Xenopus tropicalis: one gene and its partners. The protein of the gene in region 3 purifies or fractionates together with the protein of the main gene of each other region. This does not show direct contact. Links are inferred from orthologs where the notes say so. Each region holds a gene or a part of one and is shown on either strand. Other genes may lie near its edges. The genes, in order: dcaf7, dyrk1a and fam117b.

What was found.
Region 1: the proteins of fam117b (region 3) and dcaf7 purify together in Homo sapiens (affinity purification with mass spectrometry; 3 studies listed by BioGRID and IntAct, with this or other methods). This does not show direct contact. The link is inferred for Xenopus tropicalis from reciprocal best matches to the Homo sapiens genes FAM117B and DCAF7.
Region 2: the proteins of fam117b (region 3) and dyrk1a purify together in Homo sapiens (affinity purification with mass spectrometry; 8 studies listed by BioGRID and IntAct, counting the BioPlex papers as one, with this or other methods). This does not show direct contact. The link is inferred for Xenopus tropicalis from reciprocal best matches to the Homo sapiens genes FAM117B and DYRK1A.

What each region holds. Positions count from the first base shown.
Region 1 is NC_030686.2:16,434,875-16,437,315, reverse strand, and holds part of dcaf7 (DDB1- and CUL4-associated factor 7), read left to right. Parts: intron 1-717; coding exon 718-836; intron 837-2,441. UniProt on the Homo sapiens protein: Involved in craniofacial development. Acts upstream of the EDN1 pathway and is required for formation of the upper jaw equivalent, the palatoquadrate. The activity required for EDN1 pathway function differs between the first and second arches.
Region 2 is NC_030678.2:12,497,541-12,501,199, reverse strand, and holds part of dyrk1a (dual specificity tyrosine-phosphorylation-regulated kinase 1A), read left to right. Parts: intron 1-1,492; coding exon 1,493-1,617; intron 1,618-3,659. UniProt on the Homo sapiens protein: Dual-specificity kinase which possesses both serine/threonine and tyrosine kinase activities. Exhibits a substrate preference for proline at position P+1 and arginine at position P-3.
Region 3 is NC_030685.2:52,494,822-52,498,480, forward strand, and holds part of fam117b (protein FAM117B), read left to right. Parts: intron 1-762; coding exon 763-883; intron 884-3,508; coding exon 3,509-3,659.

The DNA of each region.
Region 1 (2,441 bases), on a different chromosome or scaffold from region 3:
GATCCAAGGTTATTTAATGCATTTTCATAAAACATCACCCAAACTAACACTGAGAGCAAGCCTCTGAGCTTATAAACCAACTTGATACAGTAACTCTATAACTTCTTTAAGCTGACCTTACTTAATATGCCCACCTCCAGGTGGGCGATTTCAGACTGATCCTAGGGCCAAACGATCAGATCATAAAAATGGGGATACAGGCCATTGGGATGGGATTTTTAAACCCCAGATTTCATCCAGATATTGGTTTGGTAGGCCCATTGGAGGGCCCTAAAATAAACAGGTGATAAGCTGCTGACTTGGGCTGAATGAGCAGCTAAAATCTGTCCTCTGGTCCATATGGTTATCTTTAGTTTTCATTTGCCTTTCGAGCAAACACATTTATGTACATGCATTGTACTCTCTTTTAGGTGGATATATAAACCAATTCAGTGCAGTTACTCTATACCTCTTACTTTTTAGAACACTCTCTTTAGTCTTCACCTAACCCCTAATACACGCTTCAATTGCCTCCCTAGCAAGCCGATATTAACTACATGCAGTGTTCAAGTGGACATATAAACCAGCTTGATAACAATATACTGTCCCTGTCTGGAACAAATCAGACCATCATATATCGGCCATTTCCCTCTTGTGCTAGGACTTTCTATTGTTTGTATTGTGGGTATAGGAATGTTCATTGGACTGCAGAATAACATTATTTTCTTTAACCTTCAGGAACCTCAAGTATTGATACAACATGCACAATCTGGGGTTTGGAGACTGGACAGGTCCTTGGCAGGGTTAATCTGGTGTCTGGACATGTGAAAACGCAGCTCATTGCCCATGACAAAGAGGTGAGAAGCCTTTGGTTTATCGGTAGGAAATGTGATATGGGAAGGTATGTACAGACTATCCCATGAGTGAGTTCCAGTCACACTTCTCTGAGGCTCTCTATAGTTTGCTGGGTTGCTTTGTGCTGCATGCCCATATTGTGGCTGCGGGGGGATTGCAGTTGTGGGTAAAGAGACACCTGACTTAACGGGTCTGGGTTGCTAGAGCCTTTAGATTTGTTCAGAGAGTAGTAATCGGTTTGAAGACCTTGTACAGGTCTAGGCCCAACCCATTGCTCTTGGGGTATCTGTAAGGGCAAGCACAGAGACGTGTTATTCAGGCCTTTACCGTGCTCCCTATTCCCAAGGGGGGTTGTTGGATGGTTAGTGCCTTTCTCTCAGCGGGAGGTGGTGGCACCTCCTTCTCCTTCATCTGCCTCTGCCGGAGAATTTAAAAAAAATGTGTGGTGTCGCCATCTTGTATAGCAGGAGAAAAGTCCAGATATATGGAGATTGTGATGCCATTGTATAGAATCGGGCCTTTGAGCCTTGCTACGCTCAGAGCTGCGACCCGTTCCCTAAAGTTGAGCAGTTTGAGTCGGAATGGTGGTCTTGGTGGTGCTCCCGGTGGGGGTGGCCTGGGAGGAACTTGATGGGCTCTTTTCACCACGAATAGTGAGGAGAATGTATCTGCTTCCACTACATCCTATAGCCATTTGCAAATAAATGCCTCTGGCTGCTGTCCCTCCACCCTTTCGGGAGCCCCACTATTCTGATCTTGCTCATCCTAAGTCTATTCTCCAGGTCTTTGTTTTGTCCATTAGTGCTTAGATTTGCTGTTACTGATGGCATGGTGTTGTGTATGGGGTTAATTGTATCCTCGGGAGACCTGAGTTTCCACAGCAGCAGTGCGGCCTCTCATGTATTAGAGGTCCGGGCGCAGGAGGGACAAGTTGATCTTAATCCCTTCTATTTGTGAGGTAGTGGCTGCTCTAGTTTCTTTTATAGCTTCCAATAAGTCCCCCATTGTGGGCTCGCTAGGCTCTTGGTTGGGAGGGGGGCCTGGTGGTTCTGGCGTTAATGTCTGGCAGAAGCTTTTGTCCAGCGGGAACCTGGCTGGGTGAGTGAGGGCGTAGCCTCTGATCTCATACATGGAAAATGTTTGCCCATGTTGGCTTTTAGTACTGCATTCCAGTGGTTGCTGGCAAACTGTGAGTGAGTAGTAAATGGAGTGTGGAGTGAAGAGAACTGCCAAAGAGATCAATCGATACACAGAGCTCTCACTTTATGCATCTGGTTTGGTCGCCATCTTGGACACACCCAAGTGGTGTCATTTTTACAGCACCAATTGGAGATGGGAATAAATTACATTAGAGCATTATTCAGGCAGCAAAAGATGGGGCATTAATAAATTAAACTAGGAAAGGTTCAGAGGAAGTCCTAAATGTCTTGTCATTGTTTTCCAGTGTACACGGTGATGGGTCCTGCAGGTTGTGCAGTTATAGTTACACAGGGTTGAAAAAATCCAAAGTCCGTCAAGTTCAACCCTTCCAACTGAACCCAGTGCAGTATGAATGAGTTAGGTTTTTTTAACCCATATGAATATAAAAGTATTTTCTTTCCCCTCCC
Region 2 (3,659 bases), on a different chromosome or scaffold from region 3:
TGTTGCTAAATGCTGTTATTTCCTTCCACAAAGTCTCTATAAATCTAAAGGCTTTGTCTTGTATTTATATAGAACTAATGTTTTACAGTGAGGTTTCATGATTCACATGAGATCCGGACTGGCAATCTGTGGGTTCAGGCAAATGCCAGAGGGGCTGCTGTAAGGTGCCACAGACAGTCACTATTTATTGGGCTGGGGGGGCTGTTTGTGCCTCTGGGTACTGGGAATGCCAGGGGGGCTGTAAGGTGCCACAGACAGTCACTATTTATTGGGCTGGGGGGGCTGTTTGTGCCTCTGGGTACTGGGAATGCCAGAGGGGCTGCTGTAAGGTGTCACAGACAGTCACTATTTATTGGGCTGGGGGGGCTGTTTGTGCCTCTGGGTACTGGGAATGCCAGGGGGGCTGTAAGGTGTCACAGACAGTCACTATTTATTGGGCTGGGGGGGCTGTTTGTGCCTCTGGGTACTGGGAATGCCAGGGGGCTGTAAGGTGCCACAGACAGTCACTATTTATTGGGCTGGGGGGGCTGTTTGTGCCTCTGGGTACTGGGAATGCCAGGGGGGCTGTAAGGTGCCACAGACAGTCACTATTTATTGGGCTGGGGGGCTGTTTGTGCCTCTGGGTACTGGGAATGCCAGGGGGGCTGTAAGGTGCCACAGACAGTCACTATTTATTGGGCTGGGGGGCTGTTTGTGCCTCTGGGTACTGGGAATGCCAGGGGGGCTGTAAGGTGCCACAGACAGTCACTATTTATTGGGCTGGGGGGCTGTTTGGGCCTCTGTGTACTTGAAATGCCAGGGCCTATTAACCTGCCCTTATGCCTTCATAGCCGCCCTTCAGGACAAGTAGTAAATGCAGGCGTAAGTACACTCATCATTCATGGGTTGATTGACGGCCACCGTGCACAAGTTTTAGCTTGCATTTGACACAGGCCTTAAAGGGATTGTTCGACTTTATATTTACTATTACATAGACATTGATATTCTGAGAGAATTTGCAATTGGTTTTTAAAAATTTTTTTTTTTGTGGTTTTTCAGTTATTTAGCAGCTGTCTGGTTGCTAGGGTCTTCTTTACCTTGGCAACCAGGCCATGGTTTGAATGAGAGACTGGAATATGAATAGGAGAGGGCCAGAATATAAAGATAAGGAATAAAAAGTAACAATAATGATAAAATTGTAAGTGCACAGAGAATTAGTTTTTAGCTGCAGGGGTCTGTGAACCCCCCTCCCCCATTTGAAAGCTTAAAAGTTGCAGAAGAGGAAGGCAAATAATAATAAAAAAATAATAATAATAAAGACTAATTGCAAAGTTGCTAGGAGTAGGGAATTTTATGAAATACAAAAAGTGTGTATAGCTTAGACAGATGGCAACTATTGTTGCAGGTTGCATTAGTACAGATAGGTGACTTTATAATAACCCAGTGATGATTTGCTTTCTACGTTTTTGACGTCTTGATTTATATTTCTATCACACATATATTTATGTATCAGGTGGCTCGTCTGGTACAAGCAACAGTGGAAGAGCAAGGTCTGACCCTACTCATCAACATCGACACAGTGGTGGCCATTTCACAGCTGCTGTTCAGGCTATGGATTGTGAGACGCACAGTCCTCAGGTACCCTCAGAATGCCTGTTTTATTGCACTTTATTTTATTGTCAGAATATCAGGAAAACTGACAGTCACTCTAATTCAGTTTCGGTCCTGACACCGACATGGTTGGGTGCTGCATATAGTTGTATTAGATATCTCTCACATCGACGTTTCGGTCCTGGTCTGGGACCTTAATCAAGATGTTACACTTATATGTGTATTTTATTGTGTGTAACATCTTGATTAAGGTCCCACACCAGGACCGAAACGTCGATGTGATGTATAAACATGTGTTTTTAATACACGATTGATCTTTTTGGAATATAACTCTGTAGTGCTGGGCGGTATACCGGTATATACCGAACACCATTTTTTTAAAAAAAAAAATGATAAAAATTTTTAACTTACCGGCATACCGGTGTGGGCGCCTCCTGGCAATTTTTCTTACTATTTCCGGGTTGTGCGCGCTGACGTCACGCGCGCAACCCGGAAATAGTAAGAAAAATTGTCAGGAGGCTCTGTGAGCTGTCGGGGGTGCCTGCGGCTGCCTGGTCAGTAAGTTATATTTATGTGAAGGGGATGGGGGGGTGTTTGGGGTTTGGGGGGGGGGTGTTTGGGGTTGGGGGGGGTGTTTGGGGTTGGGGGGGTTGTTTGGGGTTGGGGGGGTGTTTGGGGTTGGGGGGGGGTGTTTGGGGTTGGGGGGGGTGTTTGGGGTGGTCACCTAATCATGCATGGGGAAAAAAAAATACCGTCAAATACCGTGATACCGATATAATAAAAAAAATACCGTGATATAAATTTTTGGTCATACCGCCCAGCACTATAACTCTGTGTTGCTGGTCTTTTTTGGATATATATATAGATATATATCCACTGTATACAGAAAGCACTCACGGCCTTAATGTCCAAAAAAATGAAGAAATTTTATTTCAACATGCTATCTACATATTTCAATCCACAGAGGATCATCATCAGGATGACGATCTTCTGTGGATTGAAACGCGTAGATAGCATGTTGAAATAAAATTTCAATTTTTTGGACATTAAGGCCGTGAGTGCTTTCTGTATACAGTGGATGCATCTCTTGGGTTAGCACCCGGCTATTGCCTTTGGACTGGTGAGTGCCAATACTTGCAGTGCTATATAAATATATATATATATAATTTTTTTTCCATAAGTTTTTCTTTATTGAGTTTTAAGTTTACACAACACATAACAAGAAGAACGCAAGAGAGAGTTTAAAGTGAGAATTAAAAGAGAAGAAGAAAGAGATACGAATAACCAGGGCTTTCCTACACTACACCCAGTTACTGATACTTCTCACATCTCTGCCAGCCATTTGTCACAAATTTTCCTGATTTTCCTGGCCAGTCTGAGGCTATGTTTGTAAGCTTCTGGCTGGAGAGACATTTACAAGCTGCTTGTAGGACTGTGTTGGGGTCTCCGCTGCTTCCCAGCTCATCAGAATGGCTTTTTTAGCATAGTGCAGAAGCTGTAGGAGGCAAAGTCTGTCACTGGAATTCAGCGTTATCCTCTCTGTATGGCCCAGTAAGCAGAGTGTGGGGGTCTGTATGTTCAATAGGCCTAGAGAAGAGTCCATAGTCCCAAGTATCTCAGTCCAAAAAGCATTATATTTTGGGACAGTCCCAGAATACATACATCACCGGCTAGAATGTAAATCGCTGGTGGGATGGCATACGCGTTGCTGCAATGTCCAGCAGTCGGCCGAAGTTTCCTCTCAAGGCAACTATGGGCGACTGCGAGACATCGTAGCAACGAGTATGCCACCCCACGGGCGATTTACATTCTAGCCGGTGAGATGGCATGGCAGGGAGATTAGTTGCCCACGACAACAAAGATTTGTCATGGGGCAACTAATCTCCCCGTGTACCCCTGCCCTTAAGCTTTATATATATTTCCAATATATTTTATTGTAAATTAGAAAGCACAGAGGGCATTTACAAACCGGATTGACATCTAGGTACTAAGTCTAGTGACGGGCGAAATTCGTCAGGCATGGATTTGCAGTGAATTTCCATGTTTCGCCATTGGAGGATTATTTTGCA
Region 3 (3,659 bases):
TTGATGCTGTAGCTGTGAGTGCTTTCTACTGTTAAGTTTGAGATATATATATATATATAATCTATCTGCTATTTCTAGAGAATGTCTGTTCAAATGTTACTCCATTTTAAACCACCAGTGTATTGAAGCAAAATGATTGCAACAAAATTTTTAAGTGGCACTGCAAGTGACATTGTGCTGCAGTAGCCTCAAAGGAGAAGTTGCCATTATATTTTAGTATGTTATAGAGTAAGCTTTTGTTGACAATCAAACCACTTTTTCTATTGCAGGTTTGAAATAGGCAAGCAAATAATTAATAATAAAATAAAAAAAAAAAAGGAACAGATAAAAAGTTGCCAAGATCAATGTCCCAGACTGGGAGGGTTACATTTTACTGTTACTCTTATGTTATATTGCTTAGCTTCTTTTTAGGCCCTGTTTTATTCATCTTCTGTTCTAATTTCCAGAATGATGCCTGGGTGCTCAGATAATTTAGCTCTAGCAACATTGTCTGAAAAAAAAAAAAAACTTTATAAACCACAAATAAATGTTCAATTATAACTTTACAGGATCTAGATGAATATACCTCACAGCTTTGGAACAGACTACAGAGAACTAGGGAAATACTCATATCTTCTACTGTTTTGGGGTTTATTTTGAGCTGGGATTTTAGAACCCTCAAATGAAACAGGCATATTTATAGTAATTTGTAAATGGCAATACTTTTAATGGCAAAGCATTTTTCATCCATTATTAACGTAAGGCATTTGTTTTGGCCTGCAGAGAATGGAAATCATTCCCCTCTTCCCAAGTATGCTACATCCCCAAAACCAAACAACAGTTACATGTTCAAGAGAGAACCGCCTGAGGGTTGTGAAAGGGTGAAAGTATTTGAGGAAGGCGCGTAAGTACAGTTTGGCGAACACTGTGTTGTCTTTGTTGTTTTGTTTTCTTCTTTAAAGATCCCAATCCTTAGCTGTGTGTGCTGTGTTTCTTATACAAGAAACAAACAAGGGTAGTAATAGGTTCACAATAGAAGGGAATTGTATATCTATAAAATAATGTTTGAAGTGCTTTCTCATTTATGCTACTAGATACTAAGTTATGTAGTAACTTAAATACTTGTGAATATAAGACTAAAAACTAATTATATATGATACAGAACTATATCTACCCATTGCAACCACATTCCTACAAATTATGTATTGTGTGGCACACCAGTGCTTTGCTCCACTGGCAAAGAAGCTCCTGTCATCACTTGGCCTGCCTGCCAAAGACTTGAACCTGACACAAGTAGATTTTGACCTGAAAATCTGCACATTTTCTGCTCACACTTGCCTGTCACTTCTGGTTGCTATTCACTACAATGGCTGGTAGCCTGAGCAGTAACTGCCAGTGGAGTACCCACCTACTGTGGCATTGGCCTTAGAAATGGTGGCTTCATTATACAGAGCTGGTTATATTAAATGCAAGCCACATGTAGCTAGAGTTGGCAGCTGACTCATCCATGTCAGGGCACAGCCTGTAAATTTTACTCAGCTCTCAGGACCTGGCAGCCAGTGCACATTTCCAAGTTACACTCTGAACTGTTCATTGCCAACAACATTGCCAGAATGTGAATTAATCTGTGTAGGATTCAAGGAATGAGATATAAATCCTTGAGGATTAGTGCAAGTTTACATTATTTAAAGAATAAACAGATTTTCATTTTGCATCTATGCATCTAATATATGCTAGTAGGCGAGCACAGTAACTTTGCAGAGAACCATAAGACTCCGTTATTTACAGGGATCTACAAATTTCAGTGGACACCAGTTTCTCTGTTGGCCCTCTTCCCCCCCCCCCCCCCACTTACCAGAAACATTAATGTGCCTTTCCCTCATCTGACATCAAAACTAGAAAAGGCCATTCATTTTTCCTTCTGTTCCATTTGGTGGCATTTTTTTAGACAGAAAACTCTGTCTGTCTTTGTGTGAACTCAAAATTCCACTATAAAGCCAGAAATGGGCACATACTTTGAGGCCACTGGGAGCAACATCAAAGGGGGTGGTGAGCAGCATGTTACTCACGAGCCACTGGTTGGTGATCACTGCTCTAGGGCAGTGCTGTCCAACTTCTGTGGTGCCGAGGGCCGGATTTTCTCTAGCATACATGGTGGAGGGCCGCTAATGGAAGCCAGTTTTGACCACTCCCCCTTTTTAAACTACACCCACTTCAAACCACACCTATTTTATCACAATGGTGGTAGCACAGCAAAATCCCAAATGCTAGGTGCTTACAGCGAGGATGTCAACCGTCATTCATATGTGAAAGAATTATATTATGTCATATTAAGATATACCCTTAAATCCATATGCCTCCTCCTCCCCTGTGGATAGCACAGCAACCCCCAGCACATAGTTACACACCTTAGGGATCATTTAATGGCTATTTCCAACTGCTAACAAACCCACAACAAACCCCTGCCAGGTTCACCTCCCACAGGCAGCATAGGGCAGGCAGAGTATGGCACACACAGGCAGCACTCTGCCTGCCCTATGCTGCCTGTGTGTGCGCCATACTCTGCCTACCCTATGCTGCCTGTGTGTGCCATACTCTGCCTGCCCTACCCAGCCTGTGTGTGCCATACTCTGCCTGTCCTATGTTGCCTGTGTGTGCCATACTCTGCCTGCCCTACCCTGCCTGTGTGTGCCATACTCTGCCTGTCCTATGATGCCTGTGTGTGCCATACTCTGCCTGTGTGTGCCATACTCTGCCTGTGTGTGCCATACTCTGCCTGTGTGTGCCATACTCTGCCTGTGTGTGCCATACTCTGCCTGTGTGTGCCATACTCTGCCTGTGTGTGCCATACTCTGCCTGTGTGTGCCATACTCTGCCTGTGTGTGCCATACTCTGCCTGTGTGTGCCATACTCTGCCTGCCCTAACCTGCCTGTGTGTGCCATACTCTGCCTGGACTATCCGTTTGTGCCATACCCTCCCTGCCCTATGCTATGTTCCATAATCTGCCTACTCTGTGCTCCCTGTGTGTGCCATACATAGTCCAGGCAGTACCTAGAATGTCTGAGGTGTGAACGGGGGAACAATGTGTGTGATTACAGCCTGAGCCTGAGGTGTGAACTCTACAGGGGGTGAACAATGCAGGGATTAAAAGGTGTGAACAACACAGGGGATTACATGTTTAAACAATACAGCCGGATTACAGCCTGAATCTGAGGTGAGAACCATGCAGGGGGGGAAGTTAATCACAGTACTGATACCATTTAAAGCTTACACAAAGGTAAACCATCAAAACAGCCAGACAGGTGGGGGGCCACACAGAGGGGAGTCGAGGGCCGCCAGTTGGACAGCACTGCTCTAGGGTATTAGGGTGGGATGCTGCTAAAGATGCTTTTAGGGTTTCCCTCAAGTCTGTCTCATTAGTATAGAAAGAGAATTGGAACTTGTAACCATCAACTTTTGTTTTTTTTTTTAAAAATCCAGAATAAGTAAGTGTATTTATGTAGCAATTTTTGTGTTTTGTTTCTTCAGGCCAAAGCCACTGCATGAAATTCCACCATTTTACTGTCCTGATAAGAACAAAGTGAATTTCATTCCAAAGAGCGGTTCTGCTTTTTGTCTGGTCAGCATTCTCAAGCCTCTTCTACCCAATCAGGAAATAACCTTCAAAGGCTCCACCCAC